Struthio camelus: one gene and its partner. The protein of the gene in region 2 interacts with the protein of the main gene of each other region in a pairwise test. Links are inferred from orthologs where the notes say so. Each region holds a gene or a part of one and is shown on either strand. Other genes may lie near its edges. The genes, in order: ENO3 and ALDOA.

The links.
Region 1: the proteins of ALDOA (region 2) and ENO3 interact in a two-hybrid assay, tested with the Homo sapiens proteins (2 studies listed by BioGRID and IntAct, with this or other methods). The link is inferred for Struthio camelus from reciprocal best matches to the Homo sapiens genes ALDOA and ENO3.

Annotation. Positions count from the first base shown.
Region 1 is NW_027182728.1:84,662-99,231, forward strand, and holds ENO3 (beta-enolase), read right to left. Parts: upstream 6,963-14,570; 5' UTR 6,920-6,962; coding exon 6,862-6,919; exon of another isoform or gene 6,799-6,861; coding exon of another isoform or gene 6,780-6,798; intron 6,444-6,779; coding exon 6,354-6,443; intron 6,138-6,353; coding exon 6,042-6,137; intron 5,573-6,041; coding exon 5,514-5,572; intron 5,413-5,513; coding exon 5,343-5,412; intron 5,264-5,342; coding exon 5,130-5,263; intron 4,805-5,129; coding exon 4,582-4,804; intron 4,110-4,581; coding exon 3,912-4,109; intron 3,478-3,911; coding exon 3,276-3,477; intron 2,680-3,275; coding exon 2,571-2,679; intron 1,678-2,570; coding exon 1,619-1,677; intron 1,104-1,618; coding exon 1,034-1,103; 3' UTR 863-1,033; downstream 1-862. Other genes in the region: SPAG7 (sperm-associated antigen 7), read left to right, coding at 138-294, 538-656; PFN1 (profilin-1), read left to right, coding at 10,993-11,124, 13,152-13,344, 14,141-14,238. UniProt on the Homo sapiens protein: Glycolytic enzyme that catalyzes the conversion of 2-phosphoglycerate to phosphoenolpyruvate. Appears to have a function in striated muscle development and regeneration.
Region 2 is NC_090973.1:972,104-987,460, reverse strand, and holds the start of ALDOA (fructose-bisphosphate aldolase A), read right to left. Parts: upstream 8,123-15,357; 5' UTR 8,089-8,122; intron 7,481-8,088; exon of another isoform or gene 7,107-7,480; intron 4,597-7,106; 5' UTR 4,586-4,596; coding exon 4,474-4,585; intron 2,594-4,473; coding exon 2,382-2,593; intron 908-2,381; coding exon 853-907; intron 1-852. Other genes in the region: TLCD3B (ceramide synthase), read left to right, coding at 15,264-15,322. UniProt on the Homo sapiens protein: Catalyzes the reversible conversion of beta-D-fructose 1,6-bisphosphate (FBP) into two triose phosphate and plays a key role in glycolysis and gluconeogenesis. In addition, may also function as scaffolding protein.

The DNA of each region.
Region 1 (14,570 bases), on a different chromosome or scaffold from region 2:
GCTCAGGGGAGGGGCCTGCAAAGGGTGGGTGGGGCTTGGGGGACAGCATTCCCTGGGGCAGGGGCGGAGCTCCTGGAGGAGGGTGTGGTCCGGGGGCGGGGCCTGCAGGGGTGGGGCAGTGACGGCCCCGCCCCCAGGAGCTGGCAGCGCAGGAGGAGGAGGCGGAGCTCCGCCGGGGCCCCGCCCCCGTGAGCCCCCTCAGCGACTACAAGGACAAGTACCGGCACCTGATCGGCACCGCCGCCGCCAAGGCCGCCGCCCGCACCATGGAGGCCAACAAGGCCTACGGCTGCGGTGAGTCCTGCCCCCGGACGCCTGGGCCCCCCGGGACCCCCCTCCCCGGACGCCTGGGACCCCCTGGGGTGCCCAGGTCTCTTCCAAGGCTCCCGGACGCCTGGGAGCCTTCCAGGGAGACCCTCGGACACCTGGGCCCTCTTGAGGGATGGAGGAAGCCCGGACGCTTGGGTCCCCTGGGGGGGGGCCCGGACGCCTGGGCCCCCTCTCACCCGTCATGTCCCCCCCCCCCCCCCCCCCCAGTGCCTGTGGCCAACAAGCGGGACACGCGCTCCATCGAGGAGGCCATGAACGAGATCCGGGCCAAGAAGCGGCTGCGGCAGGCGGAGGACGAGGGCGGCGCCGGGGGCGCCTCGGCGTAGGGGGGGCCCAGGAGTCCGGGGGGTGGGGGGGGACGGGGGCAGCGCGGGGCGACGGGGCTCCCGCTCGCGCACATAAACTGCCTCTGCTTTAACTCGTCTCCCTGTGTCTGCTCGGGGGGCCCAGGAGTCCTGGTGACATCGGAGGGGGGAGGGGGCCCAGGAGTCCTGGCCGTGTCCCCCGCCCCCAATAACGAGTCGGGGCCCGTCGTGCTCCAGGTCATTTATTGAGCGGGTTTGGGGACGTCGGGGGGACGTCGTGGCCGTGCCGGGGGGGACGCGGCGGCTCCTGCTCCGGGGGGACGCGGCGGCTCCGACCTCGGTCCTGGGGGGACGCGGTGGCGCCGGGGGGGGACGCGGTGGCCCCGGTCACCCCCCTCCTACTTGGCTCGGGGATTCCTGAACTTGCGCCCGGCGAAGGTGGCCTTGTCACCCAGCGCCTCCTCGATCCTGGGGACAGCAATGAGCGGCGGACGGGGACGGTGACAGTCCCAGCGGGGTGACATGGGGACAAGGATGGTCCCAGGGGGATGGAGATGGTGCCAGAGGGGACGTGGGGATGGGGATGGCCCCAGTGGGGGACAGAGATGGTTTTGGGGGTGACGTGGGGACAAGGACGGTCCTGGTGGGGTGATGGGACGAGGATGGACCTGGGGGACGGGGACATTCCTGGGGTGACGAGGGGATGGGGACGGTCCCAGGGGATGGAGATGGTCCCGGGGTGAGATGGGGACAAGGACAGCTCTAGTGGGGTGACGTGGGGACGAGGACGGACCTGGGGGGACGAGGACGGACCTGGGGGACGGGGACGTTCCCAGAAGGGACGTGGGGAGGGGGACGGTGCCCAAGGGGGACACGGGAGGACAGGGGTGGGGACTGGTCTGGGGGACACGTGGGGCACGGGGGGAAGGAGACAGGACACCGCTGGGGACACAAGGGGACACGCGGGGGCTGCGGGCACCCACCTCATGAGCTGGTTGTACTTGGCCAGGCGCTCGGAGCGGCACGGGGCGCCCGTCTTGATCTGGGGGGACATGGGGACACGGGGGGGACGGGGACGGGGACATGGGATGGGGACCATGAGGACAAGGAGCATCCGGGGGACACAGGGACAGGGAGGAGGGGACATGGGGGGGACAGGGACCGTGGGGACAGGGAGCATCTGGGGGGACGGGGGACATGGGACATGGAGGATATGGGGAGACATGGAGGGACATGGGGGGACATGGGGGACATGGGGATGTGGGGAGACATGGGGGACATGAGGGGACATGGGGGACATGAGGGGACATGGGGATGTGGGGAGACACGGGGGACATGGGGGACATGAGGGGACATGGACATGGGGAGACGGGGGACTTGGAGGATATGGGGGGACATGGGGGACATGAGGGGACATGGGGGGACATGGGGGGACATGGGGGGACATGAGGGACATGGAGGATATGGGGAGACATGGGGGACATGAGGGGACATGGGGGGACATGAGGGGACATGGACATGGGGAGACGGGGGACTTGGAGGATATGGGGGGACATGGGGACATAGAGGGACATGGGGGATATGAGGGGACCTGGGGGGACATGGGGGGACATGAGGGGACATGGGGGGACATGGAGGGACATGAGGGGACATGGGGGGACATGGGGGGACATGGGGGACATGGGGGACATGGGGAGACATGGGGGATATGAGGGGACATGGGGGGACATGGGGGGACATGGAGGGACATGGGGGGACATGGGGATGGGGACAAGGGACACGAGGGGGGTGGGGACCATGGGGATAGGGGGACATGAGGGGGGATGGGGGTGATGGGGACACGGGGATGGGGAGACCCCGGGGGGACGTGGGGAGGGACGGGGACACGGGGGGACGGGGACGGGCTGGGGGGACACGAGGGGGAGCAGCGCTGACCTGCCCGGTGCAGAGCCCCACGACCAGGTCGGCGATGAAGGTGTCCTCGGTCTCGCCCGAGCGGTGGCTCACCATGACGCCCCAGCCGTGGCTCTGCGCCAGCTTGCACCTGCCGCGCACGAGGGGCTCGCACCAGGGTTTGCACGAGGGGATGCGCGAGGGACTCATGGGGGTCGCACCAGGGCTTGCACGAGGGTTTGCACGAGGGGATGCGCGAGGGACTCACGGGGGTCGCACCAGGGCTCGCACGAGGGTTTGCACGAGGGGATGCGCGAGGGACTCACGGGGGTCGCACCAGGGCTCGCACGAGGGGATGCGCGAGGGACTCACGGGGGTCGCACCAGGGCTCGCACGAGGGTTTGCACGAGGGGATGCGCGAGGGACTCACGGGGGTCGCACCAGGGCTCGCACGAGGGGATGCGCGAGGGACTCACGGGGGTCGCACCAGGGCTCGCACGAGGGTTTGCACGAGGGGATGCGCGAGGGACTCACGGGGGTCGCACCAGGGCTCGCACGAGGGTTTGCACGAGGGGATGCGCGAGGGACTCACGGGGCTCGCACCAGGGCTCGCACGAGGTGTCGTGCACGGGTCACATGAGGGCTCGCGCGGGAGCCTGCCCGAGGGCCGTGCACAAGGGGTCGCACGGCGGGGGGTCGCACGAGGGCTCGCACAAGGACCGTGCAACGCGGGGCGCGTCCACTCACGCCTGGATGGACTCGGTGACGGAGCCGATCTGGTTGACCTTGAGCAGGAGGCAGTTGCAGGCGTGCAGCTCGGCCGCCCGCTGGATGCGCTTGGGGTTGGTCACCGTCAGGTCGTCGCCCACCACCTGGATGTTCACCTGGGCCAGGAAGCGCTGCCAGCCCTCCCAGTCGTCCTGGTCGAAGGGGTCCTCGATGGACACCACTGCGGGGCCCCGCTCAGCTGCCGCTGCCGCCGGCCCCCAGCGCCCCCAGCCCTCCCCTTCCCTGAGCCCCGCGCAGCCCTACGCGAGACACCAGAGAATCCACCACCTCCCTTCCCGTCCCAGCGCCCCCAGGCCCCTCCTGTCCATCCCAGTGCTCCCAGCCCTCAGTGGGAGTCCGCTTCCCCCTACCCGCCCCAGGCACAACCCCGTACGAGACACCCGAGAAGCCACCGTTTCCCTTCCTAGCCCTGTTCCCCCCATTCCTCCCAATCTTCCCCAGTCCCCCCCGTCCCCTCAGTCCCTCCAGACCCTCCCCAGCCCTGGGGGAGAGGCCACCCCGCCCCGCAACCCCAGGCACAACCCCGTACGAGACACCCGAGAAGCCACCGTTTCCCTTCCCGTGCCAGTTCCCCCGGCCCGCGGTCGCCCGCACCGGGGTAGTCCTTGATGAAGCTCTGGTAGAGCTGCCCCAGCTGCTCCCCGGAGATGAGGCGCCCGGGGTCGGGCGGCGACTTGAAGTCGAGGTCGTAGCGGCCGTCGCGGCAGAACTCGGAGGCCGCCACGTCCATGCCGATCACCACCTTGTCCGGGTACCCGGCCTGCGCGATGGCCGCCTTCAGCAGCTCCAGCGCTGCGGGCGGGCGTCAGCCACCGCTGCCCGGTGCTCGCCAGCCCCCGCGCGCCCCGGCCGGGACCCCGCCGTGCACCAGGGACCCAGGCGGCCGGGCGGCCGACCCCCCCCCAACCCTTCCCCGAAGGACCCAGGCGTCCGGGCACCCCGGGCCTCCCCCGCCCGTCGGCACCCCGGCTCGTGGGCTCCCCTGGCCGGGCGGGCCCAGGCGTCCGGGTGCCCCTCCCCACCCGGGAGGACCCAGGCGGCCGGGGCCTCCTGCCCTTTGCTGACCCCCCTGGCGCCCTCGTAGCCTTTCTCCAGTTACGGCCGCAGGGGCTAATTATGGCCGCAACATTTAACGAGGGGGCTGGAAACCCAACCCGGGGGGCTATAAGTAGCTCCACCGTCTCCCGACCCGGAGAGGACCCAGGTGTCCGGGGCCGGGTGGCAGGGGAGGACCAGGAGGGGCCCAGGTGTCCGGGGCCGGTACCTTCGTTGTTCTCCAGGATGTTGGGGGCGAAGCCGCCCTCGTCGCCCACGTTGGTGGCGTCCTTGCCGTACTTGCCCTTGATGACACCCTTGAGGCTGTGGTAGACCTCGGCGCCGATGCGCATGGCCTCCCGGAAGGACGCCGCCCCCACCGGCAGGATCATGAACTCCTGCATGGCCAGCTTGTTCCCCGCGTGCGAGCCGCCGTTGATCACGTTGAAGGCCTGCGCCGAGGGTCCCAGGTGTCCAGGAAGCTCTTCTCCTCCCTCCATGAAGATCCCCCCCCAAAAGACCCAACCGAGTCCTCCAAAACCCAACCCCGATCCCCCCCCCAAGACCCAACAGCTCCTCCAAGACCCAACGATGTCCCCAAGACCCGTCAGACCCTCCAAGACCCAATAAATCCCCCAAGACCCAACTGGGTCCTCCAAAACCCAATGACCCCCCCCCCCAAGGTCTCAATGGAGATCCCAACACCCAGGGATCCTCCCAAAGCCTCCCCACTACCGCCCCCCACCGCAGAAGGACCCAGGCATCCGGGGCCCTCACCGGCACAGGCAGGATGAGGTCAGCGTTGCCGGCCAGGTCGGCGATGTGCCGGTAGAGCGGGACGCCCTTCTCGGCCGCCCCGGCCTTGCAGACGGCCAGCGACACCCCCAGGATGGCGTTGGCCCCAAACTTGGCTGCCAAAGAAGGGGAAGGGGGGGGGTGAGCGGGGAGGGGGCCCAGGCGTCCGGGACAGGACAGGGGACCTGGGCTCACATTTGTTCTCGGTGCCGTCCAGCTCGATCATGAGCTTGTCGATCTTCTCCTGCTCCACCACGCTGATTTTCTGGGGTGGGAAAGGGGGGGGACAGTGTGAGCCAGGGGGTGGGGGGGATCTGGACTCCCCACCCTGGCCCCCACCCTGACCCCCACTCAGGCCACACTGACCTTCTCCACCAAGGCGGGTCCGATGGTCTTGTTGATGTGCTCCACTGCCTTCAGCACACCTGGGGGCACGGCGGGGGTTAGGGGGTGCGAGCCCCCACCCTGGGGTCCTCGTCACCCCACCCATGGGGGCAAATGGAGAGGGAGATGGGGGGCAGAGGGGAGCAGGGAGGGCAGGGATTCAGGGGGTCTTTGGAGGTCATTGGGTCTTGGGGGGATCCAGCTGGGTTTTGAGGGATCCAGTTGGGTCTTGGGGAGGTCGTTGGGTTTTGGGGCACCCAGAGGGGTCTTGGGGGGGATCGTTAGGTCTTGGGAGGCTCAGTGGGGTCTTGGGGGATCTAGTTGGGTCTTGGGGGACCCAGTTGGGTTTTGAGGGATCCGGCTGGGTTTTGAGGAGTTTGTCGGGCTTTGGGGGACTCATTTGGGTCTTGGAGGACCCGGCTGGGTCTTGGGGGGGATCGTTGGGTTTTGGGGGTCTCGGTTGGGTCTTGGGGGGGTTGCTGGGTCTTGGGGGGCCCTGTGGGGTCTCACCTTTGCCCAGGTAGCGGCTCTTGTCGCCATCGCGGAGCTCCAGGGCCTCGTGGATCCCCGTGGAGGCGCCGCTGGGGACGGCAGCGCGGAAGTGGCCTGGGGGGCTGGAGTGAGCCGGGGGGGGCCACAACCCCCCATGGGCCCCCTATGTCCCCCCCACATGCCCCCAGGCCCTCCCACATTCCCCCATGTCCCCCCAGGACCTCCTATGTCCCCCCATGTCCCACCAGCTACCTGCGTCCCACCCCCCCGTCCCCCCATGTCCCCCATGTCCCCCACCTCTGCCCGTGTCCCCCCGGCCCCGGCGCCCACCCTTGGCCGTGTGCAGGTCGACCTCCACCGTGGGGTTCCCGCGGGAGTCGAGGATCTCCCGCGCGTGGATCTTCTGGATGGACATGGCTGCTGGGGGGGGGTGGGGGCAGGCGTCAGGGCCAGGGGGACCCAGGCGTCCGGGCGCCCCCCGCAGCCACGCCGCCCCCCGCCACACCAGGGGGCCCAGGCGTCCGAGCGCCAGCTTTCCCTGCCCTTCTCCCCCCCACCGGGGGCCCAGGTGTCCGGGTGGCCCCGCTCTGCACTATAGACCCCACTGCCCTCAGGGCACCCAGGCGTCCGGGGGGGGCCCAGGCGTCCGGGTGGCCCCGCTCTGCACTATAGACCCCACTGCCCTCAGGGCACCCAGGCGTCCGGGGGGGGCCCAGGCGTCCGGGTGGCCCCGCTCTGCACTATAGACCCCGCTACCCCCAGGGGTCCCAGGCATCCGGGGGGTCCCAGGCGTCCGGGCACCCCACAGGGACCCAGGCGTCCGGGCGCTGCTGCTCACTGGTGCTGGTTGGGCTCCGAGTGACCCCGGGGGGTCCCCGAGGGCCTTTTATGCCCATCCCCTGCCCCCGCCTCCCCCAGGGACCATCTGCAAACGCGGGACCCAGGCGTCCAGGGCCCAGGCGTCCGGGTGGGCTCGCCCCTGCCCCACCCGCCAGGCCTGACTGCCCCCCCGGGGGCCCAGGCGTCCGGGGACCCCCGCTCTGCCCCGCTGCCCCCCCCAGGGGGTTCAGGTGTCCGGGGGGGCCCAGCTGCCCCCCTCCCCCACCAGGCTTCGCAGCCCCCAGGGGGCCCAGGCGTCCGGGCGCTGGTGGCCCTGGTGGCACTTTGCGATGGTCCCTGCCCCCCCCGGGCTATTTTTAGCCCCCCCCAAAGGTCGGAGCTCGAGGAAAGGACACGGTAACTCGAGACGCCCGGACGCCTGGGCCCCCGTGGGCTGGGAGCAGCCAGATGCCTGGGTCCCCCCGAGGCTGCCCGGACGCCTGGGTCCCTGGAGGATGTGGGGGGGGGAGCACCCGGATGCCTGGGTCCCCCTTGGGCTGGGGGCACCCGGACACCTGGGTCCCCCCGGGACTGGGGGTACCCGGACGCCTGGGTCCCCTGGAGTTGAGGCTGCCCGGACGCCTGGGTCCCTGGGCGACTCCTGGGCCCCACCGCACGGGGGCGCCCGGACACCTGGGTCCCTGGAGGATGGGGGGGGGGGAGCACCCGGACGCCTGGGTCCCTGGAGGATGGGGGGGGGGGGAGCCCCCGGACGCCTGGGTCCCTGGGGGGGGGAGGGGGACGCCTGGCGGCTGTGCTGGGAATGGCACCGGTCCTATGGGATCCATAGGGGATGGGGGGAGGGGAGGGGCCCTGCGGGGTCTATAGGGGCCGGGGCCCTATAGGGGAAACGGGAGGGGGGAGATGGGCCCCGTGGGGCCTATAGGGGACGTTGGGGGGGGGTCGGGCCCTATGGAGCCCATAGGGCAGGGGGAGGGGGAGGGGCCCCGGCTCCGCTCGCTGCTAAAAACCCACTTCCCGGGGAAGTTCCCACAGCGGGGCGGGGGCGGGGCGGGCCCGGACGCCTGGGCCCCGGGGGGGGCAGGGCCCCTGGACGCCTGGGCCCCCGGACGCCTGGGCCCCGGGGGGGGCCCCGGATGTCTGGGCCCCGGGGGGGGGCAGAGGGGCCCCCGGACGCCTGGGTCCCTCGGCCAGGACGAGCTGGTTTCCTGCCCCCCCCCCATTTCCCATGATGCCCCGGGTTGGCGTGAGCGGGGGAGGGGCCGCGGTGGCGACACTGCTGGGGGAAGTTCGCAGCGGGGGGGAGGGGCAGGCGCCCGGCTGCCTCCGACCCCCTGGTCCCCCGGACGCCTGGGTCCCCAGGCAGGCGCGGGGTCCAGGGCCCGCTGCCCGGACGCCTGGGTCCCCCGGACGCCGCCTGCCCCCAGCGCCGGCGCCTCGGCCCCCTCCCCCGCCCGGGACAGGAAGTGAAACCGCCGCCCCTCCCCCCCTCCCCCCCCCGGAAAGTCCCCGCCCGGGGCTGACTCAAAGCAGCCGGGAGATATGGGCCGATGCATGTGCGATCGCACACGCGTGTGCACGGGGCGGGGAGCGCGGCGGGGGGGCATCGCACGGGGGGGGGCGTTGCACCAGGAGTTGGTTTGCTCTGGGGTTGCGCTGTGCTGGGGGGCTCATGGCGCGAGGGGTGGGTTGCACCAGGGGTTGCAGTGCACGAGGGGTGCGTTGCACCGGGAGTTGGGTGCGTTGCACCAGGGGTTGCAGTGCACGAGGGGTGCGTTGCACCGGGAGTTGGGTGCGTTGCACCAGGGGTTGCATTGCACGAGGGGTGCGTTGCACCGGGAGTTGGGTGCGTTGCACCAGGGGTTGCATTGCACGAGGGGTGCGTTGCACCGGGAGTTGGGTGTGTTGCACCAGGGGTTGCAGTGCACGAGGGGTGCGTTGCACCGGGAATTGGGTGCGTTGCACCAGGGGTTGCATTGCACGAGGGGTGTGTTGCACCGGGAGTTGGGTGCGTTGCACCAGGGGTTGCAGTGCACGAGGGGTGCGTTGCACCGGGAATTGGGTGCGTTGCACCAGGGGTTGCAGTGCACGAGGGGTGCGTTGCACCGGGAGTTGGGTGCGTTGCACCAGGGGTTGCAGTGCACGAGGGGTGCGTTGCACCGGGAGTTGGGTGCGTTGCACCAGGGGTTGCACTGCACGAGGGGTGCGTTGCACCGGGAGTTGGGTGCGTTGCACCAGGGGTTGCACTGCACGAGGGGTGCGTTGCACCGGGAGTTGGGTGCGTTGCACCAGGGGTTGCATTGCACGAGGGGTGCGTTGCACCGGGAGTTGGGTGCGTTGCACCAGGGGTTGCAGTGCACGAGGGGTGTGTTGCACCGGGAGTTGGGTGCATTGCACCAGGGGTTGCAGTGCACGAGGGGTGCGTTGCACCGGGAGTTGGGTGCGTTGCACCAGGGGTTGCAGTGCACGAGGGGTGCGTTGCACCGGGAGTTGGGTGCGTTGCACCAGGGGTTGCATTGCACTGGGGCTGCACCACACGGGGGGCTGCATTGCACCGGGGGGGTGTCGCACAGGGGCCGAGGCGCCGCACGGCCTGTGCGTTGCTCCATGCTGGCACGAGGACACGCATGTCCGGGGGGCTGCGTGTGACACGGACACGGGGGTCCCGGCGCAGGGAGCTGGGGAGGGGGCCGCGAAGAGGTGCAACGCGCCACCGAGGGCGACGCCGGGGGGGCCGTGGCGGCAGGAAACGTGGGGTGTCACCCGCAGGGAGGGGCCGTGCAAAGGGGGGTGCGGAGGCCGGGGAGGGGTGCAAGGGGGGGGGCGACGTGCAGGGGCGTGCAAGGCGCGGTGATGCCCGCGGGTTGCACGGCACGAGGAGGGTGCAACGCACCCGGCTGCAAGGCCGGGGGGTGCGATGCACCCGCGGGTGCACACAGCACAAGGGTGCCGCACCCGGAGGGGCTGCTGGGGGGGGGGGGGGCGTGCGCACGTGTGCGTGCAACGCTCGAGGGGGGCGGGGGGGCGGGAGGGAGCTGCAGTGCCCAGATGTTGCGTGTGCGACGCCGGAGGGATGCAGTGCACGGGGATGCACTGACTGGTTTGCATGTGCAATCCCCGGGGGGGGGTGGGGGGTGCACATCTGTGCGTGCGTGTGCGCTTGTGTGTGCGTGTGCGTGTGTGCGCGTGTGTGTGTGCGCGTGTGTGTGTGCGCGTGTGTGTGCGCGTGTGTGTGTGTGCGTGTGTGTGTGTGCGTGTGTGTGTGTGTGTGCGCAGTGTCTGCACACGTGTGTGCACGTGCACGGTGCCCCGGGGATGCAACACAGGTGGATGCAACACCCGGGCTGTGCGTGTGCAGTGCACATGGATGCAATGCTGGGGGGGGCAGCGCTAGCAGGTGCAGTGCTGGGTGTGCAGTGCCCGGGGGGGGGGTGCAGCACCCGCTGTGCAGTGCCTGCGGTGCAGTGCCCATTATGCAGTGCCGGGGGGGGGGTGCAGTGTCGGGGGGGGGCAGTGTCTGAGGTGCAGCACCCGTCATACAGCGCCCCTTGTGCAGTGCCCGGGGGGGGGGGGGTGCAGTGCCCGGGGGGGGGGGTTGCAGTGCTGGGGGGGTGGGTGCAGTGCTGGGGGGGGGGGGTGTGCAGTGCCCGGGGGGGGGGGGGCAGCGCCGGGGGGGGGGGGAGTGCAGTGCCCGGGGGGGGGGGGAGTGCAGTGCCCCGGGGGGGGTTGCAGTGCGGGGGGGGGGGGGTTTGCAGTGCCGGGGGGGTTGCAGTGCCCGGGGGGGGCAGTGCTGGGGGGGGGGCAGCGCCTGTCGCCCAGCGCCCGCCGCTGCCCGGGGTCGCTCTGCCGCCGCCGCCGCCGCCGCCGCCGGGCGGGCTGGGGGGGGCGTGTCCCGCGGCGGCCCCGCCCCCTGCGGGCGAGCCCCGCCCCCTGCGGGCGAGCCCCGCCCCGCGGAAGCCCCGCCCCCGCCGCGCGGGGCTATGAAAGGCGGCGCGCGGCCCCGCCGCGGGGCCCCGTCTCGCGCCCGCCGCCCGCTCCGCGCACGCGCCGCCGCCGCCGCCGCCGGCCCCGCCCCCGCCGGCCCCGCCCCGCCCGCCCGGCCCGCGCCGCCGCCGCCGCCGCCGCCGCCATGAGCGGGTGGGCGCCCTACGTGGAGAGCCTCATGGCGGACGGCACCTGCCAGGACGCCGCCATCGTCGGCTACAAGGACACGCCGGCCGTCTGGGCCGCCACCCCCGGCAAGACCTTCGCCAACATCACGGTGGGGCCCGGGCGGCGGCGCCGCGGGGGGGCGGCGGCCGTTGGGGGCGATTCCGCGGCGGTCCCGGGGCGCGGGGTGTCCCCGGGCCCCCCCGCCGGCCCAGGCGTCCGGCCCCCCCCCCCGCCCGCCCGCGCCGCGGCCCCCCCGGGCCGGGGGTCGGGCCCGGCCCCTCCCCCCGCCGGCAGGAAGTGACCGGGGGGAGGGGGGGCCGGATCCTGCCCATCCCCCCCATCCCATCCCCTTCCCCCCCCCGGCCCCAATCGGGACAAAAAAGGGAGAAAAATGCGTCCGGGAGCGGCCCCGGCCGCTGCCAGCGTGGCCCGGCCCCCCCCGCCGCCGGGGAGGGGACCCAGGCGGCCGGGCCGCGCGGGGGGGCCCAGGCGCCCGGGCCGCCCCCCTTCCCCGCTCCAGCGGGGGGCCCGGGCGCCCTTTACCCCCTCCCCTTCCCCAGCCACCCCCGGTTTGGGGAAGGAGCCCCGGCGTCCGGGCTGCGGCGAGCACGTGGCGGAGGGGCTGCGGGGGGGCCCGGACGCCTGGGCCCTCTGCCCGCCCGCCGAGGGGTCGCCGGTGTCTCCCCCCTCCCCCCGCTGAGAAAAATGCGCGGAATGTGGCAACTTCCCCCCGGCGGGGGAGGGGCGGCCGGGGCTTCCTGTGGGGGAGGGGAGGGGGCGCCTGGGCCCCCCGGGGCGGCGGGCAGAGGGGTGCCCGGGCGCCTGGGCCCCTGGCGGAGGCTGAGGGAGCTCCCGGACGCCTGGGCCCCCGGCAGGGCGTTGGGTGGGGTCCGGGACGCCTGGGCCGGCGCGGCTGGGGATGCCCCGGACGCCTGGGTCCTGCCTGTGGAGGGTGCCGGGGCGGGCGCCCGGACGCCTGGGTCCCTGGAGGAGCTGGTGCTGGTCTGGGCTCTTGGGCGCCCCGGACGCCTGGGTCCCCGGGGGGGTGTCAGGGCGGCTCACGGTGCTGCCCCGGACGCCTGGGTCCCGAGGAGGGGTGTCAGGGCGGCTCACGGTGCTGCCCCGGACGCCTGGGTCCCGAGGAGGGGTGTCAGGGCGGGCTCACGGTGCTGCCCCGGACGCCTGGGTCCCCGGGGGGGTGTCAGGGCGGCTCACGGTGCTGCCCCGGACGCCTGGGTCCCGAGGAGGGGTGTCAGGGCGGGCTCACGGTGCTGCCCCGGACGCCTGGGTCCCGAGGAGGGGTGTCAGGGTGGCTCACGGTGCTGCCCCGGACGCCTGGGTCCCCGGGGGGGTGTCAGGGCGGGCTCACGGTGCTGCCCCGGACACCTGGGTCCCGAGGAGGGGTGTCAGGGCGGGCTCATGGTGCTGCCCCGGACGCCTGGGTCCCCAGAGGGGTGTCAGGGCAGGCTCACGGTGCTGCCCCGGACGCCTGGGTCCCGAGGAGGGGTGTCAGGGCGGGCTCACGGTGCTGCCCCGGACGCCTGGGTCCCCGGGGGGGTGTCAGGGCGGCTCACGGTGCTGCCCCGGACGCCTGGGTCCCGAGGAGGGGTGTCAGGGCGGGCTCACGGTGCTGCCCCGGACGCCTGGGTCCTGAGGAGGGGTGTCAGGGTGGCTCACGGTGCTGCCCCGGACGCCTGGGTCCCCGGGGGGGTGTCAGGGCGGCTCACGGTGCTGCCCCGGACGCCTGGGTCCCGAGGAGGGGTGTCAGGGTGGCTCACGGTGCTGCCCCGGACGCCTGGGTCCCGAGGAGGGGTGTCAGGGCAGGCTCATGGTGCTGCCCCGGACGCCTGGGTCCCAAGGAGGGGTGTCAGGGCGGCTCACGGTGCTGCCCCGGACGCCTGGGTCCCCGGGGGGGTGTCAGGGCGGGCTCATGGTGCTGCCCCGGACGCCTGGGTCCCCAGAGGGGTGTCAGGGCGGGCTCACGGTGCTGCCCCGGACGCCTGGGTCCCCGGGGGGGTGTCAGGGCGGCTCACGGTGCTGCCCCGGACGCCTGGGTCCCCGGGGGGGTGTCAGGGCGGGCCACGCCCCCCCGCCCGGACACCTGGGTCCCTGACGGCGGGGGTCGTGGCCCGGCAGGCGGCGGAGGTGAACGCGCTGGTGGGGAAGGACCGGAGCAGCCTGCTGGTGAACGGGCTGACGCTGGGCGGGCAGAAGTGCTCCGTCATCCGCGACTCGCTGCTGGTGGAGGGCGAGCACAGCATGGACCTGCGCACCAAGAGCGCCGCCGGCGCCCCCACCTTCAACATCACCGCCACCGTCACCAACAAGAGTGAGTGTCCGCCCGGGCCCCTCGCGTCCCCCCCGTGTGCGCTCTGCGCCCGCCCCGGGCACCTGGGCCCCTCGTGTCACCCCCACGTCCCCCCTGTGTGCGCTCTGCGCCCGCCCCGGGCACCTGGGCCCCTCGTGCCACCCCCACGTCCCCCCTGTGTGCGCTCTGCGCCCACCCTGGACACCTGGGCCCCTCACGCCAACCCCGTGTCCGCTCTGCACCCGCCCCGGGCACCTGGGCCCCTCGCGCCGCCCCCGTGTCCGCTCTGCGCCCACCCTGGACACCTGGGCCCCTCACGCCGCCCCCGTGTGCGCTCTGCACCCGCCCCGGGCACCTGGGCCCCTCACGCCAACCCCACGTTACCTCCGCATCTGCTCCACACCATGCCCGAACGCTTGGGCCCCTCTGTGCTGCCCCTGGGTCACCCCCGCACCTGCCCCGGACGCCTGGGTCCCTCCATCCTCCCTGCTGGGTGCTGGATCCCCTCCCCTCTGCTCGCTCCTCCTGGACGCCTGGGTCCCTTTCCCATCCCCTCCCCCCTCCCAGCTCCCTGTTGCTCTGTCCCCGGATGCCTGGGTCCCTGGGTCGCTTCCCCATCCCCCCCGGATGCCTGGGCCCCTCTGCCCCCCCAGCTGTTGTGAGAAGGGGCAGCTGTTCCCCTCGCGGAGCAGCTGCACCCGGACGCCTGGGCCCCCTTGCGGGGGGGGGGATGTGGGAGGGTTCCCGGTGGGCCGGGCCCCCCCATGGAGGGGTTTCCCGGACGCCTGGGCCCTGCTGACCCCCCCCCCCCCCGCAGCGATCGTGCTGGTGATGGGCAAGGAGGGCGTCCACGGCGGCTGCGTCAACAAGAAGTGCTACGAGATGGCGGCGCACCTGCGGCGCTCCCAGTACTGACCCAATAAAGGCTGCGGCACCCGCGGCACCCGCCTGCTGCTGCTGCGCCCGGACACCGGGGCCCGCGCCGCTGGGGGGGGGGGACGGGGACGCCTGGGCCTGCCCGGGGCAAAGTCCGGCCAGGCTGGAGCCAGCGTCACGGGGGATGGGAGGGGGGGACGGGGCACCCTTGGGTGCGTTGGGGAGAGCTGGGGGGTCCAGAGCACCTTTGGGTGCTGGAGCCAGATTGGGGGGTCCTGGAGGGTCCTCTGGGTGCTGGAGCTGGGCTGGGCTGGTGGAGCTGGGTGGGGGGTCCTGGAGGGTCCTCTGGGTGCTGGAGCTGGTCTGGGGCC
Region 2 (15,357 bases):
ACACCAGTGGGGACTGAACCACGGAGATGCGGTTGGTCATGGGCTTGGGGACGCAGAGATGGCCGTAGGGGACATGGGGTGGCATTTGGGGACGGCCTCGGGGACACCAGCGGGGACTGAACCACAGAGATGGGGTCAGTCATGGGTTTGGGGACGCAGAGATGGCCGTAGGGACGTGGAGATGGCCTCGGGGACATGGGGTGGCATTGGGGGATGGCCTCGGGGACACCAGCAGGGACCGCGCAGGGAGAGGCATGGAGATGGTGATGGCAATGGCCTTGGGGACACTGGGACGGCCTTGGGGACACCGGCGAGGAGGTGGGGATGGTGGCAGGGAACGCGTGGGGAGAGCCACGGGGATGGCGTCGGGGACACAGATGGCCTTGGGGACAGCGTTGGAGAGACAGAGATGACATAGGGAACACGGGGACAGCCTTGGGAAGGTGGAGAAGGCAGAGAGGACTTGGGGACAGCTTCGGGGACACGGGGACAGCCTTGGGGACACGCAGACACAGCCAGGGACACTGGGATGCCGATGAGGACACAGGAACAATGTTGGGCACCGCTTGGGGACACAGGGACCCCCTTGGGGACACCCTTGGGGACCTGGGGACACCGAAATACCCTAGAGAACCTCTTGGGGACACGAGGACCCCTTTGGGGACACAGGGAAGCCCTCAGGGACGCCCTTGGGGACCTGGGGACGCCCTTGGGGACCCGAGAAGCCCTTGAGGACATCTTTGGGGACTTCCTAAGGACCTAGGAATACCCTTGGGGACATGGGGACACCCTCGGGGCCACCCTTGGAGACCTTGCAGGGACATGAGGCCACCCTCGGGGACGGTCACTCACCCTGGGTGGTGGTCTCGCCATTGGTGCCAGCCAGGGGCACAACCCCCTTGTCCACCTGGGGGGGGGGGGGACGCGGGGACACGGTCACTGGGAGCTGGCCTGGCTCCATGGCCACCCCGTCCCCACGTCCCCCACATCCCCCCAACGTCCCTGTCTCCCCCAACGTCCCCTCGATGTCCCCACTCTGAGACTACGTTCCCCCACCATCCCCGTGTCCCTCAACGTCCCCAATGTCCCCTTGTGCCCCATCGTCCCTACGTCCCCTTCATGTCTCCACGTCCCCCGACGTCCCCTCAACGTCTCCTTGTCTCCCAACATCCCCACGTCCCCTCCACATCTCTACGTCCCCCAGTGTCCCCTCCACGTCCCCCCCCCAACGTCTCCACGTCGCATCCACGTCTCCGTGTCCCCCAACGTCCTCTAATCGGCTCTGCATCTCCCCGACGTCCTTGCGTCCCCTTTGTGTCCCCGTGTCCAACATCCGCACATCCTGTCACCTCCATGTCCCCCAACGTCCCCTCGACGTCTCCGCATCTCCCCAACGTCCTTGCATCCCATCAACATCACCGTCCCCCAACGCTCCCTCAACGGCTCCACGTCCCCCCAACGTCCCTGCGTCCCCTCAACCTCTGTGTCCACCAACGTCCGCCAACGCTCCCTCAACATCTCCACGCCTCCCCAACGTCCCTGCGTCCCCTCAACCTCTCTGTGCCCACCACCATGCCCCAACGTTCCCTCAACGTCTCCACGCCTCCCCAATGTTCCCTCAACATCTCTGCGTCCACCACCGTCCCCCAACGGCTCCACGTCTCCCCAACGTCCTTACGTCCCCCTCAACCTCTCCGTGTCCACCACTGTCCCCTAACGTTCCTTCAACATCTCCACGCCTCCCTAATATCCCTGCGTCCCCTCAACATCTCTGCATCCACCACCGTCCCCCAACGTTCCCTCAACGGCTCCGTGTCTCCCCAACGTCCCTGCGTCCCCTCAACACCTGTGTGTCCACCACCGTCCCCCAACGCTCCCTCAACATCTCCACACCTCCCCAATGTCCATGCGTCCCCTCAACTTCTGTGCCCACCACCGTGCCCCAACGTTCCCTCAACGTCTCCACGCCTCCCCAATGTCCCCTCAACATCTCTGCGTCCACCACCGTCCCCCAACGTTCCCTCAACGGCTCCACATCTCCCCAACGTCCCTGCGTCCCCTCAACCTCTCTGCGTCCACCACCGTGCCCCAACGTTCCCTCAACATCTCCACATCTCCCCAACGTCCCTGCGTCCCCTCAACGTCTCTGCGCCCACCACCGTGCCCCAACGTTCCCTCAACATCTCCACGCCTCCCCAACGCCCCTGCGTCCCCTCAACCTCTCTGCGCCCACCACCGTGCCCCAACGTTCCCTCAACATCTCCACGCCTCCCCAACGTCCCTGCATCCCCTCAACATCTCTGTGTCCACCACCGTCCCTCAACGTTCCCTCAACTTCCCCCCATCTCCCCAACGCCTCCGCCTCCCCCCGACGTCCCCACCTTGATGCCGACGAGGCCGCCCTTGGCGCGGATGACGGCGGGGAAGGGGCGCCCGTCGTCGGCCTTCTGGTAGAGGGTCTCGTGGAAGAGGATGACGCCGCCGATGCAGGGGTCGACGCGCTGGTCGGCCGTGAAGAGCAGCTGGCGGTACCAGCGGCGGTTCTCCTCCGTGTTCTCCGCCCCCACCGAGCTCAGCCGCTTGGCGATGCTGCCTGCGCCGGGGCCGCCCGCGTCACCCGCCGGGGCCGCCCGCGGCACCCACGCCACCCCAGGCGGCTGGGCTTTGCGGGGCTCCCGGTGCTCCCAAGGCCTCCCGGTCTCACCTGGGGCCACCTGGTGGCCACCTGGGGCCACCTAGAAACCCCCAGTAGCACCCTGGGGTCACCCAGCGTCACCTGCAGTCACCCATGGGCACCCTGGTGGCACCCACGCTCCCGTTGCACCAGGGTTGCCAGGGGTTGTGGGGCTCCCAGCGCTCTCAGGGCCTCCCGGTCTCACCTGGGGCCATCTGGTGGCCACCTGCGGCCACCTAGAAACCCCCAGTGGCACCTGGGCTCTCCCACTGTCGCCTGCAGTCACCCATGGGCACCCTGGTGGCACCCACGCTCCTGTTGCACCAGGGTTGCCAGGGGTTGTGGGGCTCCCAGGGCCTCCTGATTTCACCTGGGGCCACCCTGTAACCCCCAGTGGCACCCTGGGGTCACCCAGCGTCACCTGCAGTCACCCATGGGCACCCTGGTGGCACCCACGCTCCCGTTGCACCAGGGTTGCCAGGGGTTGTGGGGCTCCCAGCGCTCTCAGGGCCTCCCGGTCTCACCTGGGGCCACCTGGTGGCCACCTGCGGCCACCTAGAAACCCCCAGTGGCACCTGGGCTCTCCCACTGTCGCCTGTAGTCACCCATGGGCACCCTGGTGGCACCCACGCTCCTGTTGCACCAGGGTTGCCAGGGGTTGTGGGGCTCCCAGGGCCTCCTGATTTCACCTGGGGCCACCCTGTAACCCCCAGTGGCACCCTGGGGTCACCCAGCGTCACCTGCAGTCACCCATGGGCACCCTGGTGGCACCCACGCTCCCGTTGCACCAGGGTTGCCAGGGGTTGTGGGGCTCCCAGTGCTCCCAGGGCCTCCCAGTCTCACCTGGGGTCACCCTGTAACCCCCAGTGGCACCCTGGGGTCACCCAGCGTCACCTGCGGTCACCCATGGGCACCCTGGTGGCACCCACGCTCCCGTTGCACCAGGGATGCCAGGGGTTGTGGGGCTCCCAGTGCTCCCAGACTCACCTGGGGCCACCTGGGCTCCTCCTGGTCTCACCTGGGGTCACCCAGTGCCCTCCCAGCGTCACCCAGTGCCTCCTAATGCTTTTGTAGTTCTCCCCAGTAACCTCCTAGTCTTCCACCAGCAACTTCCAGTCCCACCCAGTGCCCCCAATCCCCTCCCAAGACCTCCCAGTCCTCCCCAGTATCACCTAATGTCACCCCATTCCCTCCCAGCATCACCCACTGCCTCCCGATCCCTCCCAGTGCCCCGATCTCCTCCCAGTGCTCCCAGTCCCTCCCCCAGTGTCACCCACTGCCTCCCGATCCCCTCCCAATGCCCCAACTCCTCTCCCAGTGTCACCTAGTGCCCCCCAATCCCTTTCCAGTGTCACCCAGTGCCCCTCAATTCACTCCCACAGCCTCCCTGCTCTTTTCCCAGTGCTCCCCAGTGCCCCTGATCTCACCCTAGTGCCCCCCAGTGCCACCTGAGAGCCCCCAGTCCCCTCCCAGTGCCTCCCAGTCCCCTCCCAGCACCACCTAGTGCCCCCTAATCTTCTCCCAGTGCTCCCTAGTGCCCCTGATCTCACCCTAGTGCCCCCCAGTGCCACCTGAGAGCCCCCAGTCCCCTCCCAGCACCTCCCAGTCCCCTCCCAGCACCACCTAGTGCCCCCCAATCTTCTCCCAGTGCTCCCCAGTGCCCCTGATCTCACCCTAGTGCCCCCCAGTGCCACCTGGGAACCCCCCAGTCCCCTCCCAGTGCCTCCCAGCGCCACCTGGTGCCCCCCAATCCCCTCCCAGTGCCCCCCGCTCCCCTCCCAGTGCTCCCAGCGCCGCACCGGTGGACTCATCGGCGGCGAGGATGCCCTTGCCGGGGGCGACGATGCGCAGGGCGATGTCGGCGAGCTCCTTCTTCTGCTCGGGCGTCAGCGCCGGGTACTGGTGCGGCATGGTGGCGGCGGCTGCGGGGAAAGGGGGGGGGGGCTCAGCGGGGACCCCGGCGTCCGGGCACGGGGCCCAGGCGTCCGGGGAATCACACCCCGCATCACCCCACGGGCCCAGGCGTCCGGGGAAACGCCCCACACTCCCCTGCCCATGGGGTCCGGGGAGGGGTTAAAGGGACCCAGGCGTCCGGGTTAGGGGGGGGAAGGGAAGAGGGACCCAGGCGTCCGGGTTGGGGGGGGAAGGGGAGAGGGACCCAGGCGTCCGGGTTTGGGGGGGGGGAGAGGGACCCAGGCGTCCGGGTTTGGGGGGGGAAGGGGAGAGGGACCCAGGCGTCCGGGTTTGGGGGGGGAAGGGGAGAGGGACCCAGGCGTCCGGGTTTGGGGGGGGAAGGGGAGAGGGACCCAGGCGTCCGGGTTTGGGGGGGGAAGGGGAGAGGGACCCAGGCGTCCGGGTTTGGGGGGGGGCGGGGAGAGGGACCCAGGCGTCCGGGTTTGGGGGGGGGCGGGGAGAGGGACCCAGGCGTCCGGGTTTGGGGGGGGGCGGGGAGAGGGACCCAGGCGTCCGGGTTTGGGGGGGGGCGGGGAGAGGGACCCAGGCGTCCGGGTTGGGGGGGAAGGGGAGAGGGACCCAGGCGTCCGGGTTGGGGGGGGAAGGGGAGAGGGACCCAGGCGTCCGGGTTGGGGGGGGAAGGGGAGAGGGACCCAGGCGTCCGGGTTGGGGGGGAAGGGGAGAGGGACCCAGGCGTCCGGGTTTGGGGGGGGGCGGGGAGAGGGACCCAGGCGTCCGGGTTTGGGGGGGGGCGGGGAGAGGGACCCAGGCGTCCGGGTTGGGGGGGGAAGGGGAGAGGGACCCAGGCGTCCGGGTTGGGGGGGAAGGGGAGAGGGACCCAGGCGTCCGGGTTGGGGGGGGAAGGGGAGAGGGACCCAGGCGTCCGGGTTGGGGGGGGAAGGGGAGAGGGACCCAGGCGTCCGGGTTGGGGGGGAAGGGGAGAGGGACCCAGGCGTCCGGGTTTGGGGGGGAAGGGGAGAGGGACCCAGGCGTCCGGGTTTGGGGGGGGGAAGGGGAGAGGGACCCAGGCGTCCGGGTTTGGGGGGGGGGGGGGAAGAGGGACCCAGGCGTCCGGGTTTGGGGGGGGGGGGGGAAGAGGGACCCAGGCGTCCGGGTTTGGGGGGGGGGGGGAAGAGGGACCCAGGCGTCCGGGTTTGGGGGGGGGGGGGAAGAGGGACCCAGGCGTCCGGGTTTGGGGGGGGGGGGAAGAGGGACCCAGGCGTCTGGGTTTGGGGGGGGGGAAGGGGAGAGGGACCCAGGCGTCCAGGTTGGGGGGGAAGGGGAGAGGGACCCAGGCGTCCGGGTTTGGGGGGGCGGGGAGAGGGACCCAGGCGTCCGGGTTGGGGGGGGGGGGAGAGGGACCCAGGCGTCCGGGTTGGGGGGGGGGGGGGAGAGGGACCCAGGCGTCCGGGTTGGGGGGGGGGGGGAGAGGGACCCAGGCGTCCGGGTTGGGGGGGGAAGGGGAGAGGGACCCAGGCGTCCGGGTTGGGGGGGGAAGGGGAGAGGGACCCAGGCGTCCGGGTTGGGGGGGGAAGGGGAGAGGGACCCAGGCGTCCGGGTTTGGGGGGGGGGGGGGGAAGAGGGACCCAGGCGTCTGGGTTTGGGGGGGGGGGGAAAGAGGGACCCAGGCGTCCGGGTTGGGGGGGGGGGGAAAGAGGGACCCAGGCGTCTGGGGTTGGGGGGGGGGGGAAAGAGGGACCCAGGCGTCTGGGGTTGGGGGGGGGGGAAGAGGGACCCAGGCGTCCGGGGTTGGGGGGGGGGGGAAGAGGGACCCAGGCGTCCGGGGTTGGGGGGGGGGGGAAGAGGGACCCAGGCGTCTGGGGTTGGGGGGGAAGAGGGACCCAGGCGTCCGGGTTTGGGGGGGGGGGGGGAAGAGGGACCCAGGCGTCCGGGTTTGGGGGGGGGGGGGAAGAGGGACCCAGGCGTCCGGGTTTGGGGGGGGGGGGGAAGAGGGACCCAGGCGTCCGGGTTTGGGGGGGGGGGGGGGAAGAGCGACCCAGGCGTCCGGGTTTGGGGGGGGGGGAAGAGGGACCCAGGCGTCCGGGTTTGGGGGGGGGGGAAGAGGGACCCAGGCGCCCGGATTTGGGGGGGGGGGGGGTAGACGGACCCAGGCGCCCGGATTTGGGGGGGAAGGGGAGAGGGACCCAGGCGTCCGGGTTTGGGGGGGGCGGGGAGAGGGACCCAGGCGTCCGGGTTTGGGGGGGGGGGAGAGGGACCCAGGCGTCCGGGGTTGGGGGGGGGGGGGAAGAGGGACCCAGGCGTCCGGGTTTGGGGGGGGGGGGGGAAGAGGGACCCAGGCGTCTGGGGTTGGGGGGGGGGGGAAGAGGGACCCAGGCGTCCGGGTTTGGGGGGGGGGGGGAAGAGGGACCCAGGCGTCCGGGTTTGGGGGGGGGGGGAAGAGGGACCCAGGTGTCCGGGTTTGGGGGGGGGGGAAGAGGGACCCAGGCGCCCGGATTTGGGGGGGGGGGGGTAGACGGACCCAGGCGTCCGGGCGGCAGCGGCTGCGAAGGGGAAATGGGACCCAGGCGTCCGGGTTGGGGAAGTCACCGCGGGCGGGGAGGGGACCCAGGCGTCCGGGTAGGGCTCTGGGTGCAGTCAGGGGCGGGACCCAGGCGTCCGAGTTGGGGGGGGGGAATTGGGGGGGGGGAAGGGACCAAGGTGTCCCAGGCATCCGGGTTGGGGGGGGGGAATTTGGGGGGAGGGGAGGGACCCAGGCGTCCGGGACGGAGCCCCAAGGGCGTCTCAAGGGCAGCAGGAAGGGCCCAGGCGTCCGGGCAGGGCCCCCCTTCCTCCTCCCCCTGCATGAGGCAGAGCGGGGCCTCCCTCAATCTGCTCCCCACAGCCCCAAAATCTGCCTTTCCAGCCCCAAAACCTGCTCTTCCCCCCCTAAATCTGCCCCCCCACCCCAAAATCTGCCATGCTAGCCCCAAAAATCTGCTCCTGCACCCCAAAATCTACCCCCACAGCCCCAAAAATCTGCTCCTTCATCCCAAAATGTGCCCCCACAGCCCCAAAATCTGCTCCCCCACCCCAAAAATCTGCTCCTCCACCCCAAAATCTCTTTCCAGCCCCAAAATCTGCCCCCACAGTCCCCTATTTGCCCCCCAGCCCCCTAAAGCTACCTTTTCAGCCCCAAATCTGCCCCCAGCCCCCAAATCTGCCCTCAAGTCTTCCCCCAAGCCCAAAATCTACATTTTCTGCCCCAAAACCCACCCACCTCCCCCAATCTCCACACTTTTAGCCCCAAAACCCGCCCCCAGCCCCCAATCTCCACACGTTTAGCCCCAAAATCCACCCCCCAGCCCCCAATCTCCACACGTTTAGCCCCAAAACCCGCCCCCAGCCCCCAATCTCCACACGTTTGGCCCCAAAACCCACCCCCTCCCCCAATCTCCACACGTTTGGCCCCAAAACCCGACTTTTTCGCCCCAAAACCTGCCGCCCCCCCCCCCGGGCCCCACCTGGTCTCGCGCCGAGGCTGCGGCGCGCGCGTGCGGTGCGGGGGGGGGGCTGTGACGTCAGAGGAAGCGGCGGGAGGGGCGAGGGGGGCGCTTAAAGGGGCCGCGCCGCCGAGCGCTGAGTCACCGCGCGGGGGGGGGGGACGGGGGGGATTGGGGTCCCGGGGGGGAATTGGGGGGGGTCCCGGGGGTTATTTGGGGGTTTAGGGGGGTCCTAGGTGGGTATTTGGGGTCCTGGGGGGGATTTGGGGGTCCCAGGGGTTATTTGGGGGGGTTTAAGGGGGGTCCTAGGTGGGTATTTGGGGTCCTGGGGGGGATTTGGGGGCCCCAGGGGTTATTTGGGGGTTTAGGGGGGTCCTAGGTGGGTATTTGGGGTCCTGGGGGGGATTTGGGGGTCTCGGGGGTTATTTGGGGGGAGTCTGGGGGTAATAGGGGGTCCTGGGTGGGTATTTGGGGGTCCCAGGGGTTATTTGGGAGGTCTGGGGGGCATTTGGGGTCCTCGGTGGGTATTTGGGGGGTCCTGGGGGTTATTTGGGGGGGTCTAAGGGGGTATTTGGGGTCCTGGATGGGTATTTGGGGTCCTGGGGGGGATTTGGGGGTCCTGGGGTTATTTGGGGGGGGTCTAGGGGTGTATTTGGGGTCCTGGGGGGGAATTTGGGGGGTCTAGGGGGGTTATTTGGGGATATTTGGGGTCCTGGGTGGGTATTTGGGGGGGTCCTGGGGGTTATTTGGGGGGGGTCTACAGGAGCGTATGGGGTCCTGGGTGAGTATTTGGGGTCCTGGGTGGGTATTTGGGGGGTCACAGGGGGTTATTTGAGGGGGTCTAGGGGAGTATATGGGGTCCTGGGTGGTAGTTGGCATTCCAGAGGGGAATTTGGGGGTCTCAGGGGATATTTGGGGGGGTCAGGGAGGGTATTTGGGGTGCTGAGGGAGTATTTGGGGGGTCTAGGAGGACATATAGGGTCCTGGGTGGGTATTTAGGGGGTCCCACGGAGTATTTGCGGGGGGTCTAGGGGGGTATATGTGATCCTGGGTGGGCATTTGGGGGAGCCCTGGAGGGTATTTGGGGTGCCGGGGGGGGTGTCAGGGGGGTATTTGGGGTGCCAGGGGGGTATAGGACTGCCCAGGGGGGTGTCGGGGGGGGTATTTGGGGGTGCTGAGAGAGGTGCCGGGGGGGCATTTGGGGTGCCAGGGGGGGTATAGGGCTGCCGGGGGGGGTGCCAGGGGGGCATTTGGGGTGCCAGGGGGGTATTTGGGGTGTTGAGGGGGATATGGGGGTGCCAGGGGGGGTATTTAGGGTGCTGGGGGGGTATAGAGCTGCCCAGGGGGGTGTCAGGGGGGTATTTGGGGTGTCAGGGGGGTATTTGGGGTGTTGAGGGGGATATGGGGGTGCCGGGGGGGTATTTAGGGTGCTGGGGGGGGTTATAGAGCTGCCCAGGGGGGTGTCAGGGGGGTATTTGGGGTGTCAGGGGGGTTATTTAGGGCACGGGGGGGTATCCCCCCCACCCCAGGGGGCCGCAGGGACCCCCCGACTCACCGTGGGGCAGCGCCGGGTCCCGCTGCCCCCCGGCCCCCCAGCGCCGCCCCTTATCTAGGGCCTCCCCCCCCCCCGGCGACCTTTCCGCCGACCCCTGGCCTTTTCGGGGGCTAAAAATAGCCCCCCCCGCCCCCGCCGGCCCCTGGCCTGGGCGCCGGGGAGGGGCCTGGCCCCCCCCAAACTGCCGGCAGGCTCCGGGTAACCGTGGAAACGGGCCAGGCCGCGAGGGCCTGGTTTTGAGGGGGGGGGGAGGCGGTCGCCGTGGCGACCTGGGGGGGGTAGGTGCACGGTGGTGGTTGCCATGGCAACCAGGTAGGTGGGGGGAGCCCTCCCCAATGTGTGTGGCGATGGTGGGGGGGGGTAGGTCCCGGTTTCCATGGCAACGGGGGTAGGCCTCAGACCACTGTGACAGTCGCCACGGCGACAGGGTAGTGCCCCCCCAGCAGACTGACAGTTTCCATGGCAACCAGGAAGGTTGTGGTTTCCATGGTGATGGCAGTAGGACACCCCCCCAACCACTGTAACAGTCGCCATGGTGACAGGGTAGAACCCCCCCCCCGAGCTGACTGACAATCTCCATGGCGACAGGACAGCTCCTCCCCCCCCTGGGCTGACAGTCTCCATGGCAACCGAATAGGCCTCAGTTTCCATGGCAATGGGAGGGGCTATTTCCCACAGTCACGTGGGAGAAGAGCTGCATCTCCCTCATTAATAATTTATGACATGTCCTCATCAATATTCATGAGCCCTGCACCCACCCTTCCGCATGAAGGGCTGTTGTATGCAAATCACCCTGTCCGGGAGCCCCGCCCACCCCGCCACTCAGCAAGGCCCCGCCTTCCTCATAAATATTCATGTAGTCGCGGTGCCCTTCATGAATACTAATGACCCTCTGACGCGCATGCGCGGTTGCTGCGGCAACACCTCCCCCCCCCCACCCGGCGCGCGCTCCAGCGAGGCGGTGCTGAGGTAGCCACCCGGAAGCGGGAGGCGGTGCGGGTGCCATGGAAACGCCGCCTCGCGCCTTCCTATTGGCCGGGGGTGGAGAGGGGCGTTGCCCACAGAGTGGGGACACTCCCGGCGGGGCCAATCAGCGAGGCGCGCGGCGCGGTGGCGCCTTCGCCTCAGGCGCTGGCCCCGGCGCCAATCGGAGCCGCCCTTTCAGCGCGGCGCGCCGAGACTCTGCCTGGCAACGCGCCGCGTCCCGCCGCCTCCCATTGGCTGCCGGCCGCGGCCAATAGGGAGGGGCGCTGGCGGGTGGCGGGCGGCGCATGCGCCGAGCGCCACCCGGCTCGGCGGCGGCCGTTGCTCGGACAACGCGCGGCGCCCTCGAGGGGGAGGGGCGCGCACAAATGTAGGCAAATGTACACAAATGTATGCAAATGTTTGCAAATTTATGCAAATATGTGCAAATACGTCTAGGTGCGATGGCGTGCTGGCTGCATGCACGCAGAGGGTCTGGCTCAGCTCCTCCCCCCAACCTGCCCCCTCCCAGTGGGGAGGGGCCTACAAGTGATATGCAAATATATGCAAATGAGGGTTTCCCGTGGGGAGGGGCGGGGGCGGGGCCTGGGAACGCTGTTGGGGGGGAGTGGCAGGACGCCCGGGTCCCTTCTCCTTGCCATTTTGGAAGGGGGGAGTGGGAAGCAGGGCACCCCCCCTCCTTTCCCTTTAGCCCCGCCCCACATCCCTCCCCCTGGAGGCCCCGCCCCTCAACACTTTCCCCCAAGGCCCGCCCCCACTTCGCTCCTCCCACCGTAGCCCCACCCCCACATCCCTCCCAGTGGGGCTAGCTCCCCCCCCCCACCAGAATGGTGCCCCCTCCCTGGGCTGCCCTCACGCCCCGCCCCCTTTAGGCCCCGCCCCCTTTAGGCCCCGCCCCCAGGGTCACCCCCAAGGCAGGGCCGGGCCGGGCCAGGTAGCCCCCCGCCCCCTTAGGCCCCACCCCCTGTGACCCCGCCCCATGGCCCCGCCGCCAGCATCACTCCCGGCAGGGCCAGGCAGGTCCCTGCATCCCCCTGTGACTCCGCCCCCCTCAGGCCCCGCCCCCATTCAGACCCCCCCCAGCATTGCTTCCGGCAGGGCGGAGCCGGGCCGGGCAGGTCCCTGTGCCCCCCTTCAGACCCCGCCCCCTTCAGACCCCGCCCCCCTCAGGCCCCGCCCCCAGCGTCGCTCCCGGCGGGCCGGGCCGGGCCGGGCAGGTCCCTGTGCCCCCCCTCAGGCCCCGCCCCCCTCAGGCCCCGCCCCCAGCATCGCTCCCGGCGGGGTCGGCGGGCCGGGCAGGTCCCTGTGCCCCCCCCTCAGGCCCCACCCCCCTCAGGCCCCGCCCCCACCATCGCTCCCGGCGGGGCCGGCGGGCCGGGCAGGTCCCTGTGCCCCCCCCCTCAGGCCCCGCCCCCTCAGGCCCCGCCCCCCTCAGGCCCCGCCCCCAGCGTCGCTCCCGGCGGGGCCGGCGGGCCGGGCAGGTCCCTGTGCCCCCCTCAGACCCCGCCCCCTCAGACCCCGCCCCCCTCAGGCCCCGCCCCCAGCGTCGCTCCCGGCGGGGCCGGCGGGCCGGGCAGGTCCCTGTGCCCCCCCTCAGACCCCGCCCCCTTCAGACCCCGCCCCCCTCAGGCCCCGCCCCCAGCGTCGCTCCCGGCGGGGCCGGCGGGCCGGGCCGAGCCGGGCAGGTCCCTGTGCCCCCCTCAGACCCCACCCCCCTCAGACCCCGCCCCCCTCAGGCCCCGCCCCCCTCAGGCCCCGCCCCCACCATCGCTCCCGGCGGGGCCGGCGGGCCGGGCAGGTCCCTGTGCCCCTCCTCAGACCCCGCCCCCTCAGACCCCGCCCCCCTCAGGCCCCGCCCCCAGCGTCGCTCCCGGCGGGGCCGGCGGGCCGGGCCGGGCCGGGCAGGTCCCTGTGCCCCCCTCAGACCCCGCCCCCTCAAGCCCCGCCCCCCTCAGGCCCCGCCCCCAGCGTCGCTCCCGGCGGGGCCGGCGGGCCGGGCCGGGCCGGGCAGGTCCCTGTGCCCCCCCTCAGACCCCGCCCCCTCAAGCCCCGCCCCCCTCAGGCCCCGCCCCCAGCGTCGCTCCCGGCGGGGCCGGCGGGCCGGGCAGGTCCCTGTGCCCCCCTCAGACCCCGCCCCCTCTGTTGCCCCGCCCCCCTCAGGCCCCGCCCCCAGCGTCGCTCCCGGCGGGGCCGGCGGGCCGGGCCGGGCCGGGCAGGTCCCTGTGCCCCCCCCCGCCCCCCGCCCCCCCCCGCTCATGGCGGCCCCCCCGGGTGCCCTGCTGGCCGGCGGCTTCGTCTTCTTCCCCGGGCTCTTCCTGGCGGCCCGGGCCGGGCTGCGGCGGCTGCCGGGGCTGCGCTGGCCCGAGCCCGACGCCGTCATCGTCGCCGCCCGGTACCGGGGTGGGGGGGGGGCGAGGAGGGGACGGGGGGGCACTGAGGGGAGGGGGGGAGGGGGACACTGAGGGGATGGGGGAGGGGGACACTGAGGGGACACTGAGGGGACACTGAGGGGAGGGGGGAGGGGGACACTGAGGGGACACTGAGGGGATGGGGGGAGGGGGAGGGGGACACTGAGGGGACACTGAGGGGATGGGGGGAGGGGGAGGGGGACACTGAGGGGACACTGAGGGGACGGGGGAGGGGATGGGGACACTGAGGGGACACTGAGGGGGGGAGGGGATGGGGACACTGAGGGGACACTGAGGGGATGGGGGAGGGGGACACTGAGGGGATGGGGGGACACTGAGGGGACGGGGGAGGGGATGGGGACACTGAGGGGACACTGAGGGGAGGGGGGAGGGGATGGGGGACACTGAGGGGACACTGAGGGGAGGGGGGAGGGGGACACTGAGGGGACACTGAGGGGGGGAGGGGATGGGGACACTGAGGGGACACTGAGGGGAGGGGGGAGGGGATGGGGACACTGAGGGGACAACGGGGGGAGGGGGGGACTGAGGGGACGGGGGAGGGGATGGGGGGACTGAGGGGACACTGAGGGGACACTGAGGGGACGGGGGAGGGGGACACTGAGGGGACAACGGGGCGATTGGGTCACTGAGGGGACGAGGACAGTGTGGGGACACTGGGGGGGGATGGGGACAGTGTGGGGATGGGGGAGGGGATGGGGACACTGAGGGGACACTGAGGGGGGATGGGGACACTGAGGGGACAACGGGGCGATTGGGACACTGAGGGGGCGATTGGGACACTGAGGGGACGGGGACAGTGTGGGGACACTGGGGGGGGATGGGAACAGTGTGGGGATGGGGGAGGGGATGGGGACACTGAGGGGACACTGAGGGGACACTGAGGGGACACTGATGGGACGGGGGAGGGGGACACTGAGGGGACACTGCGGGGAGGGGAGGGGGGACGGGGACAGTGTGGGGACACTGAGGGCATGGGGGGGACGCTGAGGGGACAACAGGGGGATGGGGACACTGAGAGGACACTGAGGGGACAGGGACGGTGTGGGGACCCTGAGGGGACGGGGTGGGGATGGGGGAAGGGATGGGGACACTGGGGGGACGGGGAGGGGATGGGAGATGAGGACAGTGTGGGGACACTGAGGGGACAACGGGGGGGTGGAGGGATGGGGACACGGGCGGACACTGAGGGGACACTGAGGGGGCAACAGGGTGATGGGGACAATGTGAGGACATTGAGGGGACACTGAGGGGACGGGGAGGGCGGGGAGGGGATGGGGACAGTGAGGGGAGACTGAGGGGATGGGGACAGTGTGGGGACACTGAGGGGACAGGGGGGACAATGAGGGCAGGGGGAGAGGGTGGGGACACTGAGGGGACACTGAGGAGACGGGGACGGTGTGGGGACACTGAGGAGATGGGGAGGGGACACAGGGGACACTGAGGGGGTGGGGGGACACTGAGGGCAGGGACACTGAGGGGACAGGGACAACAGTGGGATGGGGAGGGGATGGGGACAAGGAGAGGACACTGGGGGGACAGTGAGGGGACGGGGACAACAAGGGGACACTGAGGGGACGGGGACAGGGACACACACGGCATGGGGACAACAAGGGGACAAGGAGGGGACAGAAACAACAAGGGGACGGGGACAGCGTGGGGACAACAAGGGGACAGGGACAGGGGCACCGTGGGGACGGAGACAACGAGAGGACAATGAGGGGATGGGGATGGGGACAATGAGGGGTTGGGGACACTATGGGGACGGGGACGTCGTGGGGACGGTGACGGGACAGCGACCGGGATGGGGACACTGGGGAGGGGGACGGTGTGGGGACAATGAGGGGACGGGGACAGGGCTGGGGACACTGTGGGGACGGGGACAATGAGGGAACAAGGACAATGAGGGGACAGTGACAGGGATGGGGACACGGGGGAATGGGGACAGCGAGGGGACAGGGACAGGGATGGCATGGGGACAACATGGAGACAGCCGGGGACATTGTGGAGACAACGTGGGGACGGGGACACCGCGAGGACCGTGGGGACAGGGATGGCAGCAGCTTGGGGACAGGGCTGGGGACAAGTGGCAGCGGGGGGTGGCCGCAGGGGTGGCTGCCACCCGCTCAGGGCCCCGTCCCCTCATGTCCCCAACGTCCCCGTCCCTCGATGTCCCTTGACGTCCCCGTGTCCCCCCCCCCCCCAGGCTGGTGTCCTCGGTGCAGGCCATCATGGCCACCACGGCCGGATACATCATCTCCAGCTCCTGCCACCATGTCATCGATGACCAGTGAGTACGGCCTGGCCTGGGCACCCGTGGGTGCC